3 linked regions of the Arabidopsis thaliana genome follow. The protein of the gene in region 2 interacts with the protein of the main gene of each other region in a pairwise test. Each region holds a gene or a part of one and is shown on either strand. Other genes may lie near its edges. The genes, in order: AT5G05200, ETR2 and AT5G63190.

Evidence for each region.
Region 1: the proteins of ETR2 (region 2) and AT5G05200 interact in a two-hybrid assay, tested with the Arabidopsis thaliana proteins (one study listed by BioGRID).
Region 3: the proteins of ETR2 (region 2) and AT5G63190 interact in a two-hybrid assay, tested with the Arabidopsis thaliana proteins (one study listed by BioGRID).

The regions. Positions count from the first base shown.
Region 1 is NC_003076.8:1,544,132-1,551,597, forward strand, and holds the start of AT5G05200 (Protein kinase superfamily protein), read right to left. Parts: upstream 3,077-7,466; 5' UTR 2,952-3,076; coding exon 2,898-2,951; intron 2,771-2,897; coding exon 2,647-2,770; intron 2,475-2,646; coding exon 2,332-2,474; intron 2,259-2,331; coding exon 2,145-2,258; intron 1,966-2,144; coding exon 1,777-1,965; intron 1,692-1,776; coding exon 1,536-1,691; intron 1,466-1,535; coding exon 1,200-1,465; intron 1,105-1,199; coding exon 1,007-1,104; intron 847-1,006; coding exon 668-846; intron 513-667; coding exon 396-512; intron 258-395; coding exon 75-257; 3' UTR 1-74. Other genes in the region: AT5G05210 (Surfeit locus protein 6), read left to right, coding at 4,067-4,090, 4,267-5,403; AT5G05220 (uncharacterized protein), read left to right, coding at 6,142-6,690; AT5G05230 (RING/U-box superfamily protein), read left to right, coding at 7,462-7,466.
Region 2 is NC_003074.8:8,251,158-8,258,623, reverse strand, and holds ETR2 (Signal transduction histidine kinase, hybrid-type, ethylene sensor), read right to left. Parts: upstream 4,066-7,466; 5' UTR 3,600-4,065; intron 3,503-3,599; 5' UTR 3,469-3,502; coding exon 1,702-3,468; coding exon of another isoform or gene 1,654-1,701; exon of another isoform or gene 1,619-1,653; coding exon 1,064-1,618; 3' UTR 736-1,063; downstream 1-735. Other genes in the region: AT3G23145 (ATP binding / aminoacyl-tRNA ligase/ nucleotide binding protein), read right to left, coding at 5,428-5,492, 5,608-5,671, 5,798-5,983, 6,167-6,265, 6,424-6,486. UniProt on the Arabidopsis thaliana protein: Ethylene receptor related to bacterial two-component regulators. Acts as a redundant negative regulator of ethylene signaling.
Region 3 is NC_003076.8:25,342,273-25,349,738, reverse strand, and holds AT5G63190 (MA3 domain-containing protein), read right to left. Parts: upstream 4,198-7,466; 5' UTR 3,937-4,197; exon of another isoform or gene 3,928-3,936; intron 3,595-3,927; coding exon 3,378-3,594; intron 3,197-3,377; coding exon 3,099-3,196; intron 3,011-3,098; exon of another isoform or gene 2,970-3,010; coding exon 1,176-2,969; 3' UTR 939-1,175; downstream 1-938. Other genes in the region: AT5G63200 (tetratricopeptide repeat (TPR)-containing protein), read right to left, coding at 1-209, 533-696; AT5G63180 (Pectin lyase-like superfamily protein), read left to right, coding at 6,626-6,810, 7,039-7,466. UniProt on the Arabidopsis thaliana protein: Involved in target of rapamycin (TOR)-regulated translation control, especially under energy-deficient conditions.

The sequences.
Region 1 (7,466 bases), on a different chromosome or scaffold from region 2:
AATCTACTATAACATTACCACTTGTAAATAAATAAAAAGTTTGAATAGGTTTAGTGAAGTATATTTGCATAAACTTAGTTGAAGCTGTCCTTGTATCCATTCGTCCTCTTGTTGGACGCGATAGAGATCCGCTGATCCTGCAGCATGTTCAGGTTTGGGGCTAATAGTCTTGTGTATCGATCGAAGTACAGAAGTTGCTTCAACAGAAGTGCAAACTCTCTCGGGAACTTAAGACCATATGATTCGCTAACACGCACCTATAAGAAAGTGAACTTATTTTCAACTGCTGAAAGCTCAAATCCTGGGGTTTATCTTAACTCAATGCAACTTCTATATCCTCTTAACAACTTTCAAACCAAAAAAAAATCCTTAAGAAATTACGTCTAACTGCTTACCAGGTCGAGGAAAAGAGCATTCATCTGTCTCTCATCCATAACTACGTTAGCAGCAACAGCAGTAGTGTCTGAATTTGTTCCACGAGCTGTAGCCACTACTATCTCTGTATCTAGTTCCTGCAAGAAGAGATTCACTTTTCTCTATAAGATTAGCCAAAGTTGTTGTAGTTGTTTTGCACTACAGTTCGGAAAGCAAATCAAGCTGGTTCCTCTGAACAGATGTAGCTGGTTACAGAGAGCCATCATAGTCAGTAAAGAGTAAAATTTCTTGCCTGGATAGATGAGAACATCTTTTCCAAGTCTTTTGCAAAAGCTTTGCCATCAACATCTCTGTTTGTGGCGCCCATTTGAATCAAAGCTGAGGCCATGGATTCATATTCTTCAGTTGCAATAGACGCTAAAAATACTTCCATAGCAGCCCATGTTTTGGGGGATATCCGACCAACAATGCCTGAAAAAAATGTGGATACTTACTTGAATACACAAAAAATTACCAATAAAAAGGAAGAGTATTTATGGAAAAAGACTGCATTTTTCTGTATTAATAGATGAGTCAGAGGTAAGTAGGCAAGAAATGTTGCACTAATTAGGCTTGAGAGAGTATGATTTACCAAAATCAAGAAACCCAATCCGGCCATCACGCAACAGCCATAAGTTTCCTGCATGTACATCAGCATGGAAGCTTTCACAAGCAAGTAAGCTTCCAAACCTGCAAGTTACATCACATGAAGATTCATTTTACTAACAGCTACATTTAGGAGGGAGAACAATCTTAATCATAATATTGAATTTCAAAGATCTTACCACACATTAAGCGCGGTAATAAGGCTGTTTTCGGGACTGGAAACAAGTGATCTTATAGAGTCCAGATCAGTCAGAGGAACTCCATATAGCCTCTCCATTGTAAGTACCCGCCGGCTGCTGCAGTACTTATATACTCTTGGAGCAGTAGCTTGCCCTGTCAACCCCATGGTTTCAAGATATCTCTTAAATGACTCAATGTTTTGAGCCTCCTTATTGAAATCTACTTCTTCAAGCATTGACTCACGAATATCTTTGACAATTCCAACCTATCCATAGGATAATATTGTTTAGAGAGTATCTTAAGAGCGACTGCAAATCAAATACAGAGGAGATTACCAGTGAAGTACGGCTAAACTCAGGACTAAGGAACTCAAATATACGGGAAACAACGTAGATAAAGTTCAAATCTGCCACTAAGAAATCTTCTATCCCAGGCTTCAAGACTTTAATCACAACATCCTCTTGGGAGCCTCGAAGCCTTGCACCATGGACCTGGTCATGATGATTCCCTTAAGCAGAAGAAGAGTACATGAACAAAATGAATTTTGATCATTGAAGTACAAGTAGAAGAACACACTTGTGCTATTGAGGCTGATGCAATTGGCGTAGGGTCAACATATTCGTATACACTTTCAATGGGTCTCCCAAGCTCCTCTTGCAAGATTTTACGAATTTCTTCAAATGGCACAGGAGGAGCTTTGTCAAAGCAGTTCTGAAATTCTTTGACATATTCTGGTGGGAACAAAGTTGGCGCAGATGCTATAAACTACAAATTCAAAGATACATTACAAGTATTGTTAAATGGATAGAATAGGAAATATATAGAGAAGCAACAAAATATGATAACTAAGCTTACTTTAGACATACACAGTTCACATGGTTCTAGATATTTACATGATATCATCAGAGGATACAATATGCTCTACATTTAGCAACATGATTTACCTGGCCCAGCTTAATGTAAGTAGCTCCCATGCGTTCAAAGAGTTTCCTCAAATATAGAGGAGACAGTAGACCAAGCTGCAATTCACTTGGTAATCCACCAGACGCGCTTGTAGACTGCAGCGAGTGAGAGAGTAGTTAGCAATCAAAGATAGTTTGACATCATAAGCAAAAAGATAATTTCAGCCACCTTAGATAAATCATTTAGCCACTCTCCTCCAACCCCTACAAAGGCTTGAACACCTTGGACAAGGCGTGTCACACCTCGTGGACCTGTGTTTATCGATGTCTGAACTATATCCTCAACCAATTTGGGCAATTTCTCTATCTGGCCTGCATCAAAAGCCATGTAAACAAGTAAATGGATCAATAAACTGTCATCCAATATGTAGATTTTTACAAAATAAATCCAATAAGCAACAAAGAATACCCTAACGAGATACAATTCAGAATCATAGATGTATACAATGAGATTGAGTTTACAAGAAGAAGGAAATTTCTGTACTTTGAAGACGAGAAGTGAAAAGGTCCTGAGTTTGCGAATACTGGGCTGTAAGAACAAAACCCTTGAAATTCCTGGCTCCGATCATCTTCTTAGACGTTCCTGACACAGTTCTCGCGACGGGAAACTGAAAAATGAAGCTATCGAGATTGAGCAGCGAGTAAAGGACCTTTGCAAATTTTGGTAGCTAAGCCATAAAGAGCAGATCAAGGAAACGACTTTACTGAAGGAAAGAGAAGAGAAAACAAGTAAACCTGAGAATGGTGAAATAACGGTAACCGCGTGCCACGGAAAGCTGAGACCGCCATCGTTCGCCGGCGATTGAAGCAGCAGAGACAAGACACTCCGGTCAAGCTTTATTACTCACAAAACGCACAGAAAAGCGACACCGTTTTGTATATTTTGAAAATTGAAAATATCCTGAGGCGGAGTGAAGGGGAATATGCCACGTGGAAACGTGTAAGTGGTTGTTTTCCTCCTCACAAGTCACAACATATTCGTGAAAAACTCTCGGTACGATTCGATTTCCGGTTAACCTCTTTTAAATCCCATTAAACCGAACCGTTTTTGCGACGCTGGAGGAGAAGTTGAGATAACGCGGTTTTACATAAATACCCTTATAAAAATTGAGAAATAACAAAACCATTCAAACCCTAACCACTTTCACGGAACCTCTTCATCTTCGTCTCTCTGTCTTTTTTCTTCTCTCAACGCCGTTGATTCGCCATCGTCGCTACCGGTGAGATTTTCCTTCGATTGTCTTTCTTTTATTCCATCAATTCGCTCTCTTTCCATCTGGGTTTGTGCTTGTAGCTTAAAAAAATTGATTATAGAGTCAGAATTGTTTATCACTTAAGATAATGAGTTCTGAGTTATAATGATTCCTGAACTGATATGTAGAAACTTCAACTTTTATTTGTTTCTACGATTCATCCTTGTTTGCTTTAGGGTTCTTCTATTCTTTGTAGGATAAGATTTGTTTCTTTGGCTTGTTTATGTTTGCTTCTTATCCTCTTTATTCATCCTGAGCTTGTTATACTGGGGAAACTTGTTGTATTATACTAAGGTTTCTGTTTCTCTTCTGGATAATGAATAAGGATATTTGCTCAATTACACAACTTGGAATTTTGTTTTTATGGATTAATGGTGTCTACAAAGTCATCTTCTTTAGTTCTGTATCTATCTAGCAAACGAGTAAACTTGGTGTCACTTGATGTGATTCAGTGACTTGCTCGATTCTGACAAGATGCAGGAAATTCTGAATGTATTTGTACCAGCTTAGTTATAGCTATGTATAATGTATATCGAAATACATGTCTTATGATATCTGTAGTCTTTCACAGTTACTAATATATCCTTGTTTTATTGCTGCAGATTGTCTTGAGGTTTACGACTTTTGGACTAATCTCCTCTGTGGAGAGCAATGACTAAAACTCGTGGGACTGATGTAAGTTTTGATTTCCACTGTTAACTTTTTATCATCTAATATTTTGTTAATCTGCCATTGTAAGTCTTGATTCTATAGTTTTTATGAAACTTGGACTATGAGTCCTTAGTTTATTATTTGTCATTTCTCCAAAAGGGCTTTTTTCTGATTGTGATTGGTTTTGGTTATTGTTGTAGATGACAAAGAAAAAGGGTAAACATGTTTCTGAAATGGATTTCAAGACTCATCAGCATACTGAATTTTTCGATAAGTTGATAGAGCTCACGCCTGCTAGATTCTACTTACCTGATGAGACAGAAAGGAAATGGTATCCAGGTCTTAGCAAGGCTCAAAAAGCTAGAGCCAAGAAAAAAACAAATGACAACCTAAAGAAGGCGAAGAGAGATAAGTTGGACCCAGAGAAGTCTGCTTTGACGACTCTCGATTTACTGAAGGAGAAGATAGAGAAGGAAAGATTGGCTTCACAGAAGCAGAAGCTTAAGAAGAAACACGCGGATTTACGGGAGCAGAAGCTAGAGCAGGAAAAATCAGGTACTGAGCTTCCTGATGATGACAGTAAGAAGGAAACAGATAACAACAGACTAAATGATGATGACAGTAAGGAGGAAACAGATAATAACAGACAAAAGGATGATCGATCTGTTACGTACGAAGAGCTAAGGGAACGCCTCCACCGCAAAATTGATGAGCTCAAAGGTGGTCGTGGAGGTTCAGATAGACCAAGAAGCAATGAAAGAAGGAAGAAGAATCTGCCAAATAAGAGAAAGAGGGATACAGTTTCTGAGGAGAAGACTGTGGAGGAGATTAAGTCAGCAGATAAAGGTAAGGGTAAGTTGGATGTGGAGGAGGCTGCTAAGGACCTTACATTTGGTTATGTCAAGATTGATGACGATGAAGAACACGGAAAAGAGAAAAAGAAACGAAGGCTTTCAAAGGCAAGAGAACTTGAAAGGGCTATGAAGTTAGAGGCTGCAAAGAAGGATCCAGAAAAAGGTGATGTAATTGCAAAGAAGCACTCATGGAAGGCAGCTACAAGCAGAGCAGCTGGTATCAAGGTTCATGATGACCCAAAGCTATTGAAGCAAAGCATCCACAAAGACAAAAAGAGGCAAGAGAAGAACGCAGAGAAGTGGAAAGAGAGAATTGAAGGGCAACAAAAGTTCAAGGTGGAGAAGCAGCAAAAGAGATCAGGGAATATTGCCGATAGGATTGAACAGAATAAGATGCGCAAAATCGCCAAGAGAGAGAAAAAGCTCCTGCGTCCTGGCTTTGAAGGCCGCAAAGAAGGGTTTATCAATGAAGGTGGAAACTAGAATTCAAGTCTTCCACACGCCTTTTGTGTTCCAACATTTCAACGATGTGATCCTCACAAAGGCTGTGAAGAGGGTTTTTGCACATCTGAAATCGAAAAACATATTTTGGGAATTTTCATCTAGTCAAGTCCCTAGCAATATTTGTTATCTTCTTGTTCGTTTTACTTTGCAGTTTGTAGACTTTTCAGATGTTCCATTTGCTACTCAATGTGTTGTTCCTTACAGTGAATGCTCTTATCAGGCAGGTTTTAGATAAACTTGTCACAGAAATTAGCATATATTGAATGCGAGATTACAAATACTAGGTAATTCAAGCTAGATAATCAATGCAAGTTGTGTTCATTTAGATTTACTTTGATCTGAAGTCATATGTGAGAAATCAAACTAATCCGAGTAGATTTGAATTATTAACTTTTGTTGGATCCGATTTGGCCTGGTTCATACTACAGAAAATATCTTTCAGAAAAGTTCTAGATCTAAACAAACGTGTCTGATTTAGAACAGTAAGCTTTACTATGCTAAACAAAAAGCTTGGATAAAGCCGAAAAGAGAGTCAAAGTAGGTCGGTGAAAGAGTCTCGAGACACGTGGCACAAGAACCAGCTTGGGGAATCTCGAAAACTCTCTTACTCATCGCCATTCCCACACGTATGATGAATGACGTGTGCCAATGGATCACATTACCCAAACCTTATATAAACCCACCGAGAGACCCAACAAAACTCTACCAGACAAAACAATGGAAGCTATCTCTCAAACCTGCACAAAGATCATCACCAACCCATCTCAGAGGATATATAAAACCTCATCTCCAGTCACGGCAATTCCACAAACAAAGCTGAGCCTTAAAGTCAAGAAGGAGAGGTGGGTTGCTGCTGCTAGATGCGTGGCTTCAGGATCGGATTATGCTGCGGCAATGGAGCCAATTACGCCGGAGGAAGAGGAGGAATTGACTCAGAGAAGAGGGATATGTGGTGGAGAAGTAAACAGAGGAGTATGGGAGCTCTTGGAGTGCCTTGAGAAAGAAGCTATTATGGGGAATGATGATGGGAGAGATCCTAGAGATTACAATAGAAGAGCAAAGATTTTTGACAAGAGTTCTAAGATCTTCAAGAACTTAAATGAACAGAGAGATCAGGCTCCTGTTGATTACCTTGAGAAGGAAGCTATCATGGGGGCTGATGATGGGAAGGACCCTAAAGATTATAACAGAAGAGCAAAGATTTTTGACAAGAGTTCTAAGATCTTCAAGAACATCAAAGAACAGAGAGAGCAGTCTCCAGAATGAATTACGAAAATGTAGTTTGTTTGTTTTTTTGGTATGATAAATGTAGTCTGTTTGTAATGATCTCATTAGTGGTTTGAATCGTTTGATTCCTTGTACCGTTGTACCTCTACTCTTTTTGCAAGGATCCTCTCATTGTAACACGATCCTAATAATGTGATATTTCTTCTAAGTATTATTCAATCAACCAGAGACTAATTATTGAACGCACAATGATGCAGAATGTAATCTGCGGCTTAATGACAATTGACAAGTTTCAATCTAAATCCATAATATTATATGATGATATCAATTAGTCAATTACACTTTACGACAGCAGTTGTATAGTATTCTAATGTAGACAATGAATAATTTTCAGACAACAAAAACCGGTAATTATTTTCGGACAAACAAAAAACAAAACAACAGTAAAGAGATAGATTCCGTTGACTTCTTTTCATAATCCAGTTCTGCACACTTTACTTTCTGATCCATGGGCCCTAGAATCTGAGCCTGACGTCTGTTGCGGTTGATACGTCACCGTTTCTTACTTCGTTTATCTTCTCTCCAAACGACGCCATTTCTCCTTCCCTTCTTCTTCTTCCTCTTTAGTCTTTTTCATTTGATCGCTGGAAATGAAAACTTTTCCTCTCATCACTCATCTCTCTTCTTAAAGATTCCTTCTTTGCTTCACGAAACTAAACCGAACCCTGATTTCCCTTTCTTACATGCTCAATTATCTTCAATTTTCGTTTAATTCTTAGGGGTTTTAGTCATTTTCGATCGTTCAATTCCATGTC
Region 2 (7,466 bases):
TTTTCTGAATAATTGTTTTTCGAAATTAGTTACTTATGAAAAATAACTAACAATAATAACTTCCTAGTACCACAAATTTCCTAAGATTCTTAATTTATACACAAAAGAAAATTTTAGACGCGATTTAGACTAGCACATCAGTTATTTACATAATTTTACTTATGATGTAATGTAACAAATCAATCTTTTTTCTTCTTCTTTATTTCTCTAAACTGTTTTACTCGCAATAACTGTAGGCAGCCGGGGGAAATATTTGGATTCTTGAAAGTGTAAAGTGAAGAGTGGTTATCTATTTGGACATGATTGTTTTCACTGTAGTTATCAAATAATTAGTACTTTAACTAATAATTAAGACTAATCTGTCAAAGATTGTCGGGTTCGAAGAAACAAATGTATAAGCACAAGTGGGTTTGAATATATAATTGCAAGTTACGTAAACCCATCTCTTCCCTAGATTCACTTTCTGCAAATCCAATCCATTTCTACTTTATTTTATGCAGTTCTTTTAGTTTAATAGGCTCGAGGAATGTGCAGTTTTGTTTAATGTAATCTTCTCTAGTCCAGGGGGCATGAATCTAACAAATAATTACTATATTTTGATTTTTACTGGTAACAACTAATAAAGTCACACATTTTTTTCAATGATTCTTTTGTTTGAAAAGTTTATTACAAAAGTGGCAGACGACATTATCTACAACTTTTCATGTTCCAGGATAATTTAAGAGAGCTCTAATACCTACTAGAGAATTAACTTGATGTAGAGTAGTAACGAAGAAAATTTATCTTCAAAACTCTATAATGCCATATTCAGTTTCGTAAGTTCGTAACATAAAGAAAACAAAAAACTACGAAACTGACTCCTTCTTGACCCTACGAAATACTAAGATTCAATGCAATTTCGTGGGGTTCAAAATGAGAAAAAGAACAAAAAAAAACAGGATGTACAAATCATAGAGATATGGGTGGTATATATAATAACAATTTCGAAATTTCATTTTGATATATTTGACATAAATCTATGGTGTAAAAATTTTGAATGTAGAAGAGAAGTTGAGATAACAACTTAGAGAAGTTGGTCAGCTTGCAACAATACTCTTCGGAGCTCACTCTCCATAGCTCTTAACACCACTGGCTTTCTCACAACTCCATTGATTCCAATCTGTGCACACTTGTCCCACATTTCTTCATCCAAGCTCACTGTCGTCGCCACAATCAACGGCCAAGATCGACTCCTGATCCTCATGGCCACTTCATAACCGTCCATCTCTGCCATTTGAAGATCAAGCACCACCACTTGAAACGAAGTAGAAGGCGAGGACGAGCCGGGAGCAATGGCGGTAAGGCAATCGAATCCAGAGGAAACCGCGGTTACATCGCACCCGAGTTTCTCTAAGAGTTTACGTGTAACTGCCCGGTTCGAATCGTTGGTGTCTACCAATAAAACTTGTAAGCCACGTAACAGAGAATTCGAATGTGGGTGAGCGTGGTGGTCAGGAGCTGGCGACTCGCTGGATCCATGGACAGATATGGAGGGTCTACGTCGAAACCGAAGGAGCAACGACATGGTCTCCGGTGAACCATCCGAGCCAGGGACCACCGAGATATTCCCATGAATCAACTGCACACATTATCAAAGAACTCCTAAACAGAAACTCAGACTAATGACAGGAACTTTAGAAAGAGATATGTAAGGAAACTCACCTGCACCACTTTCTTACAAACACCAAAGCTTAGATCTTGTCCTAACCCATAGCCGCCGGAGAATCTAACATCACCAACTTCTTGATCTCTGGAGGAAACAGAAGCAAATGATTGAGAACTTGAATCATCATTCTCTACATTCATTTCAAATCTTATATACACATCTCCATCTGCTGAAGAAGCCGGTGATCTCCAAGCAGCCCATCTATGATCACTCCTATCCAAGCTTCCTCTTTCTTTCAAAACCTTAAACATCAATGAAGATCCTTCTTGACGTTTTCTAGGCTTTACTAAACTACCAACTATATGAAGTATCACTTGAAAGACCCTTCTTTCATCACCTACTACATTATCAGGTAGAGACTTCTCCGCGTCAACCAAGAACCTAATTCCATTGCATAGACACAAACATCTCGCCATACAAGCTGCTTCATGGATCGTACGATGCAGACTAAATGGTTTCATCTCCGTACCAAATCTACCGTCAGGCACATCCATAGAGTCCCCCACCAAATTCGACATAACATTCCCTGTTTTAACCATCGTATCAACAATCATTTTCTGCTCGTCACTCAACTTCTCGTCCTGAATCATCGACAAAAGACCGAGTATCGAATGCATAGGACGCCTCATCCCTTCGCTCATCGTTTTCTGAAACGCATTCCTCGCTTGGCTCGCTCTCAACGCGTCTCTCTTCGCCATCTGCAACGCCCTGTTCTGTTCCGCCAGCTTCTCCCTCATAAGCTGAGACTCTTCAAGAACCGCTGCATGATCTAACGCAACGGTTACTTGATCCGCCACAACTTTAACAATCTCAATCTCCTGATAAGTCCAATCCCGAGGCGTCCCGCCCGGTAAAACACAAACAAGTATCGCATAACTTAGCTCTCCATTAAAATCCGAAACACGAAGCATCGGCATTCTAATAGCAGCCACGGCACCAATCTCACTAACATCCCCACCACCACCACTAGCTCGAGCAATGGACGAGTCAACACTCAACACATTCACTTCATCACTCTCCCTAATCCTAACAACATCCAAATCCTCCATAGAAACAGAACAACCACCATAACCACCTCTCCCTCTCAACTCATGAGTCAAATCCATCTCCGTTCCACCGTCATTCGGCATCCAAACCGCACAATTCTGCAACCCTAAAGTCTTCGAAAGCTCAACCAAAGTAGTATAAAGAATCGTATGACGATCCAAAGACTTACGAATCTCTTGAGTAAGCATACGAACATGAAAGCCAGTCTCTTTCTTAATCAAAATCAAACCAACTTCACGACCAAGCTCATGAGCTTTCTTCTTAAGCATAAACTCTCTAACTTTAACTTTCAAAAGCAGAGGAATCAAAGTAATAAGCGTAATCGCAGTAGCACAAGAGACTAAAGCAGTCAACATCTTGAAAACAGTAAACGCCATCATTAATCTAAATGGATGAGCAGAGTAAGTCCAACCATGAAGAAGATGAGTCATACCACAAAGAACAATGAAGGCGATAAACTCAAAGAGAACCCATTTGAATGGAACATTGGAACAACTCACGAAGTAAAGTAACTCAATAGGGATTGAGAAATAAGCTACTGCGATTAAGAAATCGCTTACTCTTTGAGTTTCTAGAATGTTCTCTGTACTCCAGAAACTGTTTCCTTCGTCTTCGCAGTTACATCGTGGATAACCACCGCCGTTTATAGCTAAAACCGGAGAAACAAACACCACCATTGATAGTATCAATAACCAAGAAGCTATTTCTTTAACCATCTTCGGAGAAAAAAAATGCTTAGTCCATTATACTCTGCAATTAGAAAAACAAGAAACAGAGTGAGAAATAAAAATCAAAACTTTAATTTGGGTAATAGTAGAAAGAACAGAGAAAGAAAAATTTGGAATACCTGAAAGAGATGAGTTTGGATCAAAATGAAACAGTTCTCAGATCTCTCATCGACCTGTGAAATTCCAACGAAGTGATGTACGAGAATCTTCTAATTCTCTTCGACATTCCGATCTTCCTCTCATAGAAGAACAACGATGACGAGAATAAAAATACACAAAGAGAAAGACAGAGACAGAACAAAAAAAGCTGGTGATGACAAAACCAGAAGACTTAAAAGTGAAGAGATAGAGACAAATCTGAAACTACTTTGAAGTTATATAAAAAAACGTGAAGTACGTTTATTTATATATGCCGGAGATGATTAGTGCCGGAAAACCGCCATAAGCCGCCGATGGAGGATAAAAAGAGAAGTGTATGTATAGGGTGTAAGTAAAGGTAGGAGCCGTTGGTTTTAGAGGAAGGTTTTGAGATTTTTTCTTCTTCTTTATTCTCTGATTTAGAAACTTAAAGAGGTCCCACTTGTTCTTACATGAACCGAACTTAGACGGTCTTTTGAATTTTTTCTGAGTTGTGTTTTTTTTCTTACACTTAATAATTTTTTGGTCACTAATGTATTAATAAATCATTTAATATTGAAAACATTTGTTATTTCCTCAACTTGTACGTTTTATAAATTTAACTTATTACAAGCTGTAACATAGAATAATTAATGGGTACTCTGAATTTTATCAAAATCCCGTATATCATGAGACTGAAGAATAGAATAAAGCTTGTTTATTTGTATATGAATGAGTAAAATATTGGTATAATTGTTGGAAACTATCAAGCCACATGACATGAATCTAGGAACCTAAAAATTATTTTAATAAATGTGTTTTATTCCAAGAAAGTATAAAATTAAGACCAAGGAGGCAAATAGATCATATATTTCTTAAATTAGCTTTGTTTATAAACAAAAGAGCACAAAATCTAACGTAATCACTGTGTTTTGAACTGACACAAGTAGTCGGATATTTGATGAGATTAGTCTAATACTCTAATTAGATATTTTAATTAGTCAAATATTTACAAAAAGAAGATATGTATAACGCCTTAAGATGTTGATTAATATGAGGGACCTACAAAACTGTGATCTTTGATTTTATTATAATGTTTCCTTCACCATACATGAATCTAAAGAGTAATGAGTATATATTTGAAACCACATTGCTATTACTTTCCTAACTTTTAATTGTATGGTTTTGACTCTAGAAGAAACCATGTTAGACCACAGAATGTCAGAATCGCATGTGTTCTTTTATATTGAAGCTCTAATTAGTATCTACCAATCATCTTTGAAAAACATCATTGTTTAAAGCCTTTGTACATATTTATTTTATTTATTGATAGTACTATCTAAAGAAATTGAACCTAGAAGTTTTTAGACGACACGTTACCTAAGTTTTTTTTGTTGGTGTTTTTAGTGGTCACTGTAACAACAGAGAGTTTTAGCATCACTACCTATAACCATAATCTTGATGCTTCAAACGGAGTCATACAATTACAGAACAAAAAAAAATACATTGAAACTCTTGAGCATATTTTGTGAAGCTAGTTCGGATAATTTTGAATTTCCACAAGTAACAAAGTTTCTTGTTGTTTTTGTAATAAATCCCATCTTTATCTATAGAATGAGTACAAAGTCTCAAGAGACATTTAACTTTTTGCAACGATCTAGAAGAAAACACTTTAAAAGGCTCTCATGCGTTCTTCTTGCTTAACAATTAGTCACCGACTGTCAAATGCAAATGTTCTCCTAGAACCACAGTCATAACAGGGTGCTTTTCAATGCATGAGCACAATGAGAAGGAAACCCATATATCAAATATACAACTTATATATGACCATTAATCGCTTCGGTTACATTTATTTACCTCACGGGCAACACCTTCGTTTTTCAAAGATTCATCTTCTCGTAGATCAAGAATTACCATAACATCATATCTGAACCATGAACGAATGCAAATATTATATGTTTCCTCAACAATAGAGCATAGAGAAGTGGTATTTTTAATTAAGATATGTACTATCTACAGCTGCATCAATCTCTGTATCTTTCAAACCATCTGGACGTTTGAAATCTCTGACAATCTAAACAACACATGAACAAAATGTGTCATGAACATGGGTTCTTGAAGATACTGTAAACTTAAACAAGAAAGAAAATAAACTTAATGTTAAAGGTGGTGATATAAGGAAGATGTTGTCAAATCTAACCTTCTTAATTATCTCGTTCTCAAGACAAACACGATAGTCATCTGCACCAAAGACAGGAGCACAATGGACAATACCAGTACCACTATCATTCATGACATAATCATCTGCTACTAGTCGAAAAGTCACACTTGAGAAATCGCTAAAAGTAATCAAACAAAGGTTCATACTTCTTCCCAACCAAGGAATCTCCATTAAAATTTTCCAAAACTTGATAAGAATCCTCTTCACTGTCAAGCTTAATTAGCACCTTTCGCATTATGGTATCACTAGTAAGTTCCATTAGTTAAGCCGGCCTTAGGCTTATCACTAGGAAGCGATGACAACCGAGATTCAGCAACAATGTAGACTTTTCCAGTGTTGTTGACGAACCTTAAGATAGACAAACTTTGCATTGACACACAAAGCAAGATTACTTGGAAGAATCCATGGAGTAGTAGTCCATGCCACAAGAGCCGTATTATCTTGGATCTCCGATAACAGGGAATGTAACCATTACTAAATATGCAACACAATATGCAACAATAAATATGCAAAAAAAATATATATATTTAACACAAAAAAAAAAAAAAAAATGCAACAACAGAATGTTATAATCTTCATTAGCAACAAGGCCAACAACAACATACCTTATAGTTCTGACCAGCTTCAAAATTAGATAGTGGTGTTTTACAACCAGTACTATAAGGCATAACCTTGAAGCATCTATAGACAAGATTCTTATAAAAAAATCAGCCTACTACACCCAATTAAAATCTTTAATTTGAGTTATATATTTTAACACCGTCATTTCAATTTTTCCATGATTTTTAAGCCCAGCAAATCATAATCTGGCTCTTGAAATTTACGAACCCAAAAATCAAACCTCCAAATGATATTGGGCCTTTTAACTGGTCATACTTTGATCGCTACTTCTACTTCTAAACTTCAACTTTCAGTTCATAAAACCCAGATTTGACTTTCATTTACTCTCCTTTATTTTTTATGCATGTAATATACTATCACATTTTTATAATCATAATTTGTTTTACAACATCAAGGCTATGATTGATTCATATGAGCTCACATGGGTCTGCAAAAATGTAGTTTCTAAATTTGGAAGGCTTTTCAAATGGTGTAAATTATAAACTTCACCAACCTATTATTAAAACGCATATAATGTTTATCCCATTGCAGTTCGAATTCATTCATAATATAAGTTTAAACTTACTTTATAATGTAAATTCATACAAACCCACTTGAAATGTAAATTCATGTAAAATATTATACAAGAGAATGATAGATAGTCTTTGATTATACAAACCCAAATTTCATACAACGTAACTAATTATTAGAACATATTACGCAAAACTACTTGATCTATAGATCTACACTAATATATAGTTATGGAAAAGAACAATAATCCTGTACTATACAAACCCAACTTCAGACAACAAGAACATTTTTTTTTCTTTTTGAAAAAGGTATAACAAAAACATTACTCAAATTAACCTATTTGATCTATAATTTTTAAGTGAAAAATATAGTCTTGAATTATACAAACCCAAACTTCATACGATCATGATAAAAACATGACTCCAAGTCCAACATATTTTGATCATACTACATATATATTGAAAACATATATAAACACCACAATAAACATCATGCACTATACGGTGATTAACTTTCA
Region 3 (7,466 bases), on a different chromosome or scaffold from region 2:
GGTTACTGATTTTTTCTTCCCGGGATGCAGGGACCCCTTGATTAGCCAGATCACCATCTGCATCAACTCCACAATCAGAGGAAGACTCAATCTTACTTCTGGAGCGGCATTTTCCCACCTTGCTGATCTTTTTGGCTTCTACTTCTCCTGGTTCCACCTCCTTGCATGTTAATATACCTCCCTCTTGATGACTTTCCTCGTTACTCAACCTAAAACACACAAAAATGTATTTAAGTTAAGAATCATGAAGCTTCTCCTATCCCCCAAAGCAGTAAGAATCAAACTCTACTTATCAAAAAAAAAATTCCCCATTTTTAGACTCTTGCTGAAAGATATCCAAAGTCTCGATTTTTAGATTTTGCGGCATAAGAAGACATCAATATATTCAACCCCGTAACAAAAATGTCACTTCAAACATATGTTTCTTCCGAACAGAGGAAAAAAAAATCTCAGCAAAAGAAAGTTAGTCGAAAGCAACAGAAAGAAATAGGTTAATTAGCTGAAACACACACAACTACGTATGTAGAAGTACCTAGTGATGGGAGGAGGAGTAGGGATTGGAATGGATGAGTCAAGATCATCAGTCTCAGGAGGATTGAAATTAAGGTCAGCTAAAACTACAAGCTTTAGAGGTCGAGAAGGAGAGTCAACGGTCATGGGTTCGCATTTGACGGCGATCGTCTCCGGGCGGTCCATTGATGGTGCTGAGTACGCCGGACAGTAAAGTTGAGCAGAAGAAGAAAGAATCAAAACAAATATAAAAACGAGGATAAAGCTGTTTGGCAACGAGTATTGGTCTATCCTTTTGTTTGCTCTATCCCGGAACCGGAGTCATAATTATCTCACCGACCGAACAAATATATTTTTATTTATCTTTTTATAATTTAATTACCATATTTTCTATATTTATAAATAATTTTCATAAAATATCACAAGAGTAATAAGTTAACACAAATTAACCATGCTAATAACTTATTTTCAATGTAACAAAAATCCATCAGAAATTAGAACACACTAAAAGATATCAGTACAAAGACAAAACACAACAACCAGACAGAAACACATGAACATATAAACATCTCATGTTTATCTACTAACTGAATCCATACATATATGTAGATAGTGAGGAAAGTATCGTAAGCACAAACACAAGAAACTGATAAGAGAACCACTAATCACTGAGTTGCAGAAATCCCAAACTCGGGAAGGATCCAACCATTGTCCATGGCATGACTAGCATACAGCTCAAACTTCTCTTTCGCGTTCGGTATATCAAGCGACAAGTCATCGAGGCTGTCGTTAACACGACCAAACCCTTTCGTCATTTGGTTAGTTGTAATCAATCCTTCACCAAAACACTCCTCAAGCAGATTCAGTAACCGATCATTCTGCTTCTCCATTGCCATCACCAAAGCTTTCTTCACTACTTCGTGGTTGAAAAAAGGCATCCCTAGATCGCGGATACATTGACAAGCTTCTGATGTTACTCCTCCTGTTTCGTATTCTTCTAGGAGTTTCGAGATTTTGTCCTTTGCATCTTCCACTATCCAGCCGGTTCCACCTCCCCAGCTTCTTAGGAGTCTCTCTCCTGCGTGTCTGGCGGAGATAAGAGACCTGGCTGAGCGGACTGTTTCGGTTCCGGTTGATTTTGGAGGCAGCTTGGTTGAGATATCTTCAAGGTTAAGTGGAGCTAAGACGTCGTCAATCACAGCTCTAGCTAAAAACAGAGCAAGTTCGTTTGATGCGTCCATGATATCTAAAGCTGTGTCTTCTGCCGATTCCAGGAGCATAATGAAACCGTTTATGAAATCTTCAGTTGAGAATAGCTCCATGTGAAGAGCAGAAAGAAGAACCGAAGCCATTTCCTTTTCTCTGTTTTTCCTGTCTAGAGCAAGAGTTATGAGCCTCTTCAGAAACACCGGGTTATATTCAGGTGCCCCTAAATCTTGAAGACTGCGGATTAGCTCAGGAATGTCATCTGATAAGAAATATTCCTGAATTATGTTCACTGTATCCTTCTTGTACTGTCTTAGCTTTCCGTCTTGACTCGATTTTTCTCCATCTTGATCAGAGGTTATCTTAAATGAATCATCGAGCCAGCCTCCAGAAATAGCCTTTGGAACTATCGAATCAAACAGCTTTTTGGCAGATGGGATATCTAGAGCAAGGTCATCGAGACTCTCTGCTACTCGGAAGAATCCCTTCACCATTTGACTCGAACTGATCAGTCCTTCTTCAGCAGTTTCCTTCAACAGCTTTAGTACAAGTGACTCAGCGGTTGGAGAATCCATCGCCAGAACCAAAGCCCTCTTCACAACCTCATGATGGAAAAACGAGACACCTAATTCCCTGATGCATCTACAAGCTTCGTAAGTGTCTCCGTTTTCCACGTATTCCTTCAAGATTTCAGATATCTTTTTCTTCGTTTCTTCTACTGTAGTGTGAGTACTACCTCCCCATTTCTTCTCCACTAGTTCTGCATGGTGAGGAGCTGAGAGATAGCTCTTTTCTGCAGTTACAATAACCTGAAACCCTTTGCAAGATTCTGGAAGAATCTTCTTAGATCTAACCAGAAAAACCGGAGGGAGAATTTCGTCAACGATGGCCCGTGCAATAAACAATGCAAGGACATTAACAGCATCAAGGATGTCCACCGCAAGGTCATCAACAGATCTGAGAAGTCTTATAAATCCATCCCTAATTTGATCAGGTAAAATAACATCAGCATACAATGCAGAGAGTAGCACTGAAGCCATTTCCTTCTCCTTATCGTGTCTGTCCATGGCCATAGAAACAAGTCGCTTGGTGAAGTAAGGATGATATTCGCTTGAACCAAGTTCCCTGAGGTCAGATGCCGCCACTTTCACATCCCCGGTGCTAAAGTATTCGTCAATGATGGAAACTACTGACTTTTTGTAATCATTCAACGGGTCTGATACCGGTGAATCAACAAGTCCATCATATGCGTCCTGTTAAATTGAGTATATGAATGAAAAAAGCAAACTACTAATAAAAGATAAAATCAAGGGATGTTAGATACACTAAAGAAACAAGGAAAAGTATCCAACACAAAACAAAAGGCGCAAATATGAAAGTACCTCTCCACTATCGTAATTGGGATCATTCTTATCAATACAGGAGTCACCATCATCAGTGTCAAGAAGCTTTCCCCAAGTTCCTTTGCCACCAGCACCCTCTGCAGATATCATTGCCACATAAGTAAACCATATATCACCTACACACTTGAACTCTTCTACTGAAAACTTAAGTCTTTTCACTAAAGCAAATTTGAAAGGAACTAATAAAGAGTCATATCACTCCCTAAAAGGATCTATTAGCCAAATAACAAGCACAAAAGGTTGAAGAAAGTTTAATACCCTTCTTAACACGAATATGCTTCCCTGAGTGAGTACGTCGCACATGCCTATTAGGAATCCCAGCAACTGGTCCTTTGCCACCAGTGGGAGACTTAATGTTCAGATCAGCAAAGAGAGTATGAGATTTAGGCGATGATGACAAACTTCCAGAATTATGAGTTGCTATTTCAAGCTTTTTCCACTGTCCATCCGTCAAAATTCCCTCACCCGATGCCATCTACAACATTAAAACGACCATTAACTCATAAATCAAATACAGAAATAACCTCATAATCACTCGAACCAACCAAAAAAACTCTTCCTTTTTCCCCAAACTCCTAATAACGATCAGTAAGAACATGAGAAATTTGTATCCCAACGAAATTTCTTCCCATTCAATGATAAAACAAAGAACATGAAACCCATAAACACTGTGAATCATAAGAACACACACACAGTGATATTTTCCACGATTTCTAAACGAGAGACCTTAAAACACTCCAAAAATTCGATTAAGTAAACAAAACATCACAAAGAAGTATGTATACAACTATACAAAACAAAATCTAACCTGTCATACCTGTGATCGCAGGAATCAAATTCCAAATCGTGAAACAAAGTCGTCTTCTTTACTGCTTGGCTCGGATCTCGAGCCAAGACAGAAAAGATAAGGAATCGGATCTCCAGCACCGGAGAAAAACGACCGGAGAGTATCAAAGTAGATAACGATCAATTTATCACTACAAGAGAGTCGCAAAGATTCAAAAGTCACCGATTCCCAGACAACGACGAGAGAGGAAATGGATGAGGATCGCCAATAAAAGTACTACTTTACAACAATATAATAAAGTTTTGTGCATTTGTTTATATACGATGGTACACGTCATCAACGTAATACGTGGAGGGCTTAGAATATTTCCTTCTTTTTTTAATTTAGCCTCCAATTTTTTTAAAGATTTTAATCCAAAACAATGGGCTGTATTGGGTAGGTTCGGCCCATTGAATTAGATATTTTGGGCTGGACAATATCCAATGGTTGACTACGTTAATAAAAGTTTTATGCTTCATGGAATCATATTATTAGATCATGGCCATCATGTTTATAGTTTTAAAACAGATATGGATATTGTATTTTATATTTTTCAAATTATTATGACTAAATTATATCAATATTCATTTTAAATTGTTATTTTAGTGAACGTACTATGTGTATAAAAAAAACAAAAAAATTATAACACTGATAAATGAGTAGAGAAGAAGTTAGCAAGTAGTTTTCAAGCAAAAACCGGTCACATGCCCTTTTGTCTCTATTTTCTGATCCGACGGTTTTCTTTATATCTACCACCTTAAATCCAATCTAACGACTCTATTTCTTTATAGAAAGGTCAATTCTCTACATTTTTTCTTGTTTTTTTTTCACAAGACAATGTCATGAAACTTGAATTGATTTCGTATAGAAGACAAAAAAAACTTGTAAAGTTGAGCATTTGTTCAAAACATTAATTTGTTAAGTTTGCTTATCCAAATGATCAAGTTTCAGTTTGATAAGCCAATGTAGTCAATAATTAAAATGGTTGAATTAGATATTATCATACTCTATATTTAGTTACTTATTCAAATGCGTTCAATTATTTTTGTATTCTATGAATCATGTAAAAAGTAGTGAAAAATGTATATAGATTAGCTTTTGAGCGTTGAGAATATTCTGAAAAAGGAACATTAATGTCGATCGGTTCTCGTGTTTCATCACGTACGAGAACGAAATCATTTACTAATCGAATGAATGTCCAAAACTGTCTAAAATGTAGTGAGAAATGTCATTTAATTGTTTTCTGCAGTTTATGTACCAGAATACACAATTTGCTTAATGTATAAAATAATTTGCTACTAACAGTAATTTAAAAAAAAAAAACTAGACTTAAACTCATGATCCATATTTTTGCCCGAAGTGAAAATTCATCAACATGAATGGCTCTAGCAAAAAGAAAAATGTCGGCGAGACTTGTAATCGAATAGTTGATTAAGTTTTTAAAGACATTGTTCTTTTTAAAGTGTGGAGGAGGAGGAGGATATAGAGTGATGATGCAAATACTTCCCATGTGCATTGATTGTCAACACATTTTGTACCAGCCAAAATTTCAACATAGGGTCTGATTGTTAGATATGAATGAATACACTACTATTCTAAAAACGTTATATGAATTTAAGAAAATTATATGTGTAGAATTTATTGAAAGATTGGACTCGAGCACATGGTTCGGTGGTCCCAAAATCAAACCTCTATGGGCCAGTGTCGGCTCAGTTCTCCTATTCTATTGCTTTTGGTGGGTCTATTCTTTTCTCTTTTCCTGCAAGCAATATCTCTTTGAGACACCAAAAGAAATTCATTTTGTATAAAGATAATAATAATAACAAACACTCTAAAACCAACTTATCAAACAATTCAAAGTGTATCAAATATCGTATTCTTACAATTACAATCCATATACGTTTAGTTATCAAAATATGGTTTAGTAGATAGCAGAAACACTAAAGTATCTCGAAATGTAATACTTTACTATATGAGCTTTAACAAAAAAAAAAAAAAAGGAAAAAAAAAAAATCAGTTAAATTGAGCTAACTGCTATGCTATTGATAATATTCAACCGTTAAAACGTAAAAGTAATGATAAAGGTACAAAAATTAAACCGTAATATTAAATATTAGTACTAAAGTACATTACTAACACAGTGTTGACTTTTGGTGCACCGTACTTAGTGTTTCACCAACATTCAGCTTTAAGTTCGTTGAGATTTTAATTACGAGTTCTGTGTTTTTTTTCTTTAAGCCACGTGACTCATTCCTAGCGTTACCTGAATGTTGAATACAGTATTAAGTGCTATCGGTTTGATAATCTTAATTATTAGAACTGTTGAGCCAATTATATTTGTAATGATGGCTGATATTACTCCTTCCGTTTTTAAATCATAACCAGCTCCGTTTAGCTTGATCAGAATTACATTTCTGAACAACACTTTTTAGTTCAGCCAAACACTTTTTATCAGGTATCATGAAATTTGAATCTTAGGAAACATTTTGCATTATTTCTTCTTCTCTAAAATGACTTGGGTTGATTCCATTCTCACACACCAAAATAATTTCACAAGAAGAGGAAAAAGGTTAAGCAAGGTGGGTCCAATTAACGTCAAGTTGCATGCGCAATAAATCACCCGAAGTGTTCATATGCTATATAGTCTATCGCTTTGCTTTGTCTTTCTCTCTTCACTCATATGTTTCGTCCCAATTCTCTTTTAATACCTTCAAATTTATCAACAACAAAAAGCCAAAGAAACACAATGCTAAATTCTTCATATCTATCCTTCGCACTTATCTTTTTCTGCTGCATTTTGTTCTCCGCTCTCGCTTCGTCTTTGCCCGTTTCCGACCCTGAGCTTGTTGTCGAGGAAGTACACAGGTATATGTTCTAACAAAAATGTAAAAGCATTTTACATACACTCAAATAGTCAAATGTTTGGTATTAGATATTGCTTCCAAGTTCTTTCTATCCAAGGCTAATTTTGATCTTGATCACAAACTCACTTGTTACTATTGCTGCATTAATAGCTATGACTTATGAGTACGCCTAATTACGTACGTCAAGATTAATTAATGCTAATATATTGTCTGTTGGTTAATGCATTAGAAAAATAAACGAGTCCATATCAAGAAGGAAGCTAGGGTTCTTCTCGTGCGGGAGTGGTAATCCAATCGATGATTGTTGGCGATGCGACAAGGATTGGGAGAAAAACCGAAAACGGTTAGCAGACTGTGGTATCGGTTTTGGCAAGAACGCTATTGGCGGTCGTGATGGTGAAATCTATGTGGTCACGGATCCAGGAAACGATGATCCAGTAAACCCTAGACCGGGAACACTAAGATACGCAGTCATTCAAGATGAACCGCTATGGATCATTTTTAAGCGAGACATGACGATCCAACTAAAAGAAGAACTCATCATGAATTCTTTCAAAACCCTAGACGGACGAGGAGCCTCCGTACACATCTCCGGTGGGCCATGTATAACCATACAATATGTAACCAACATCATCATCCATGGTTTACACATACATG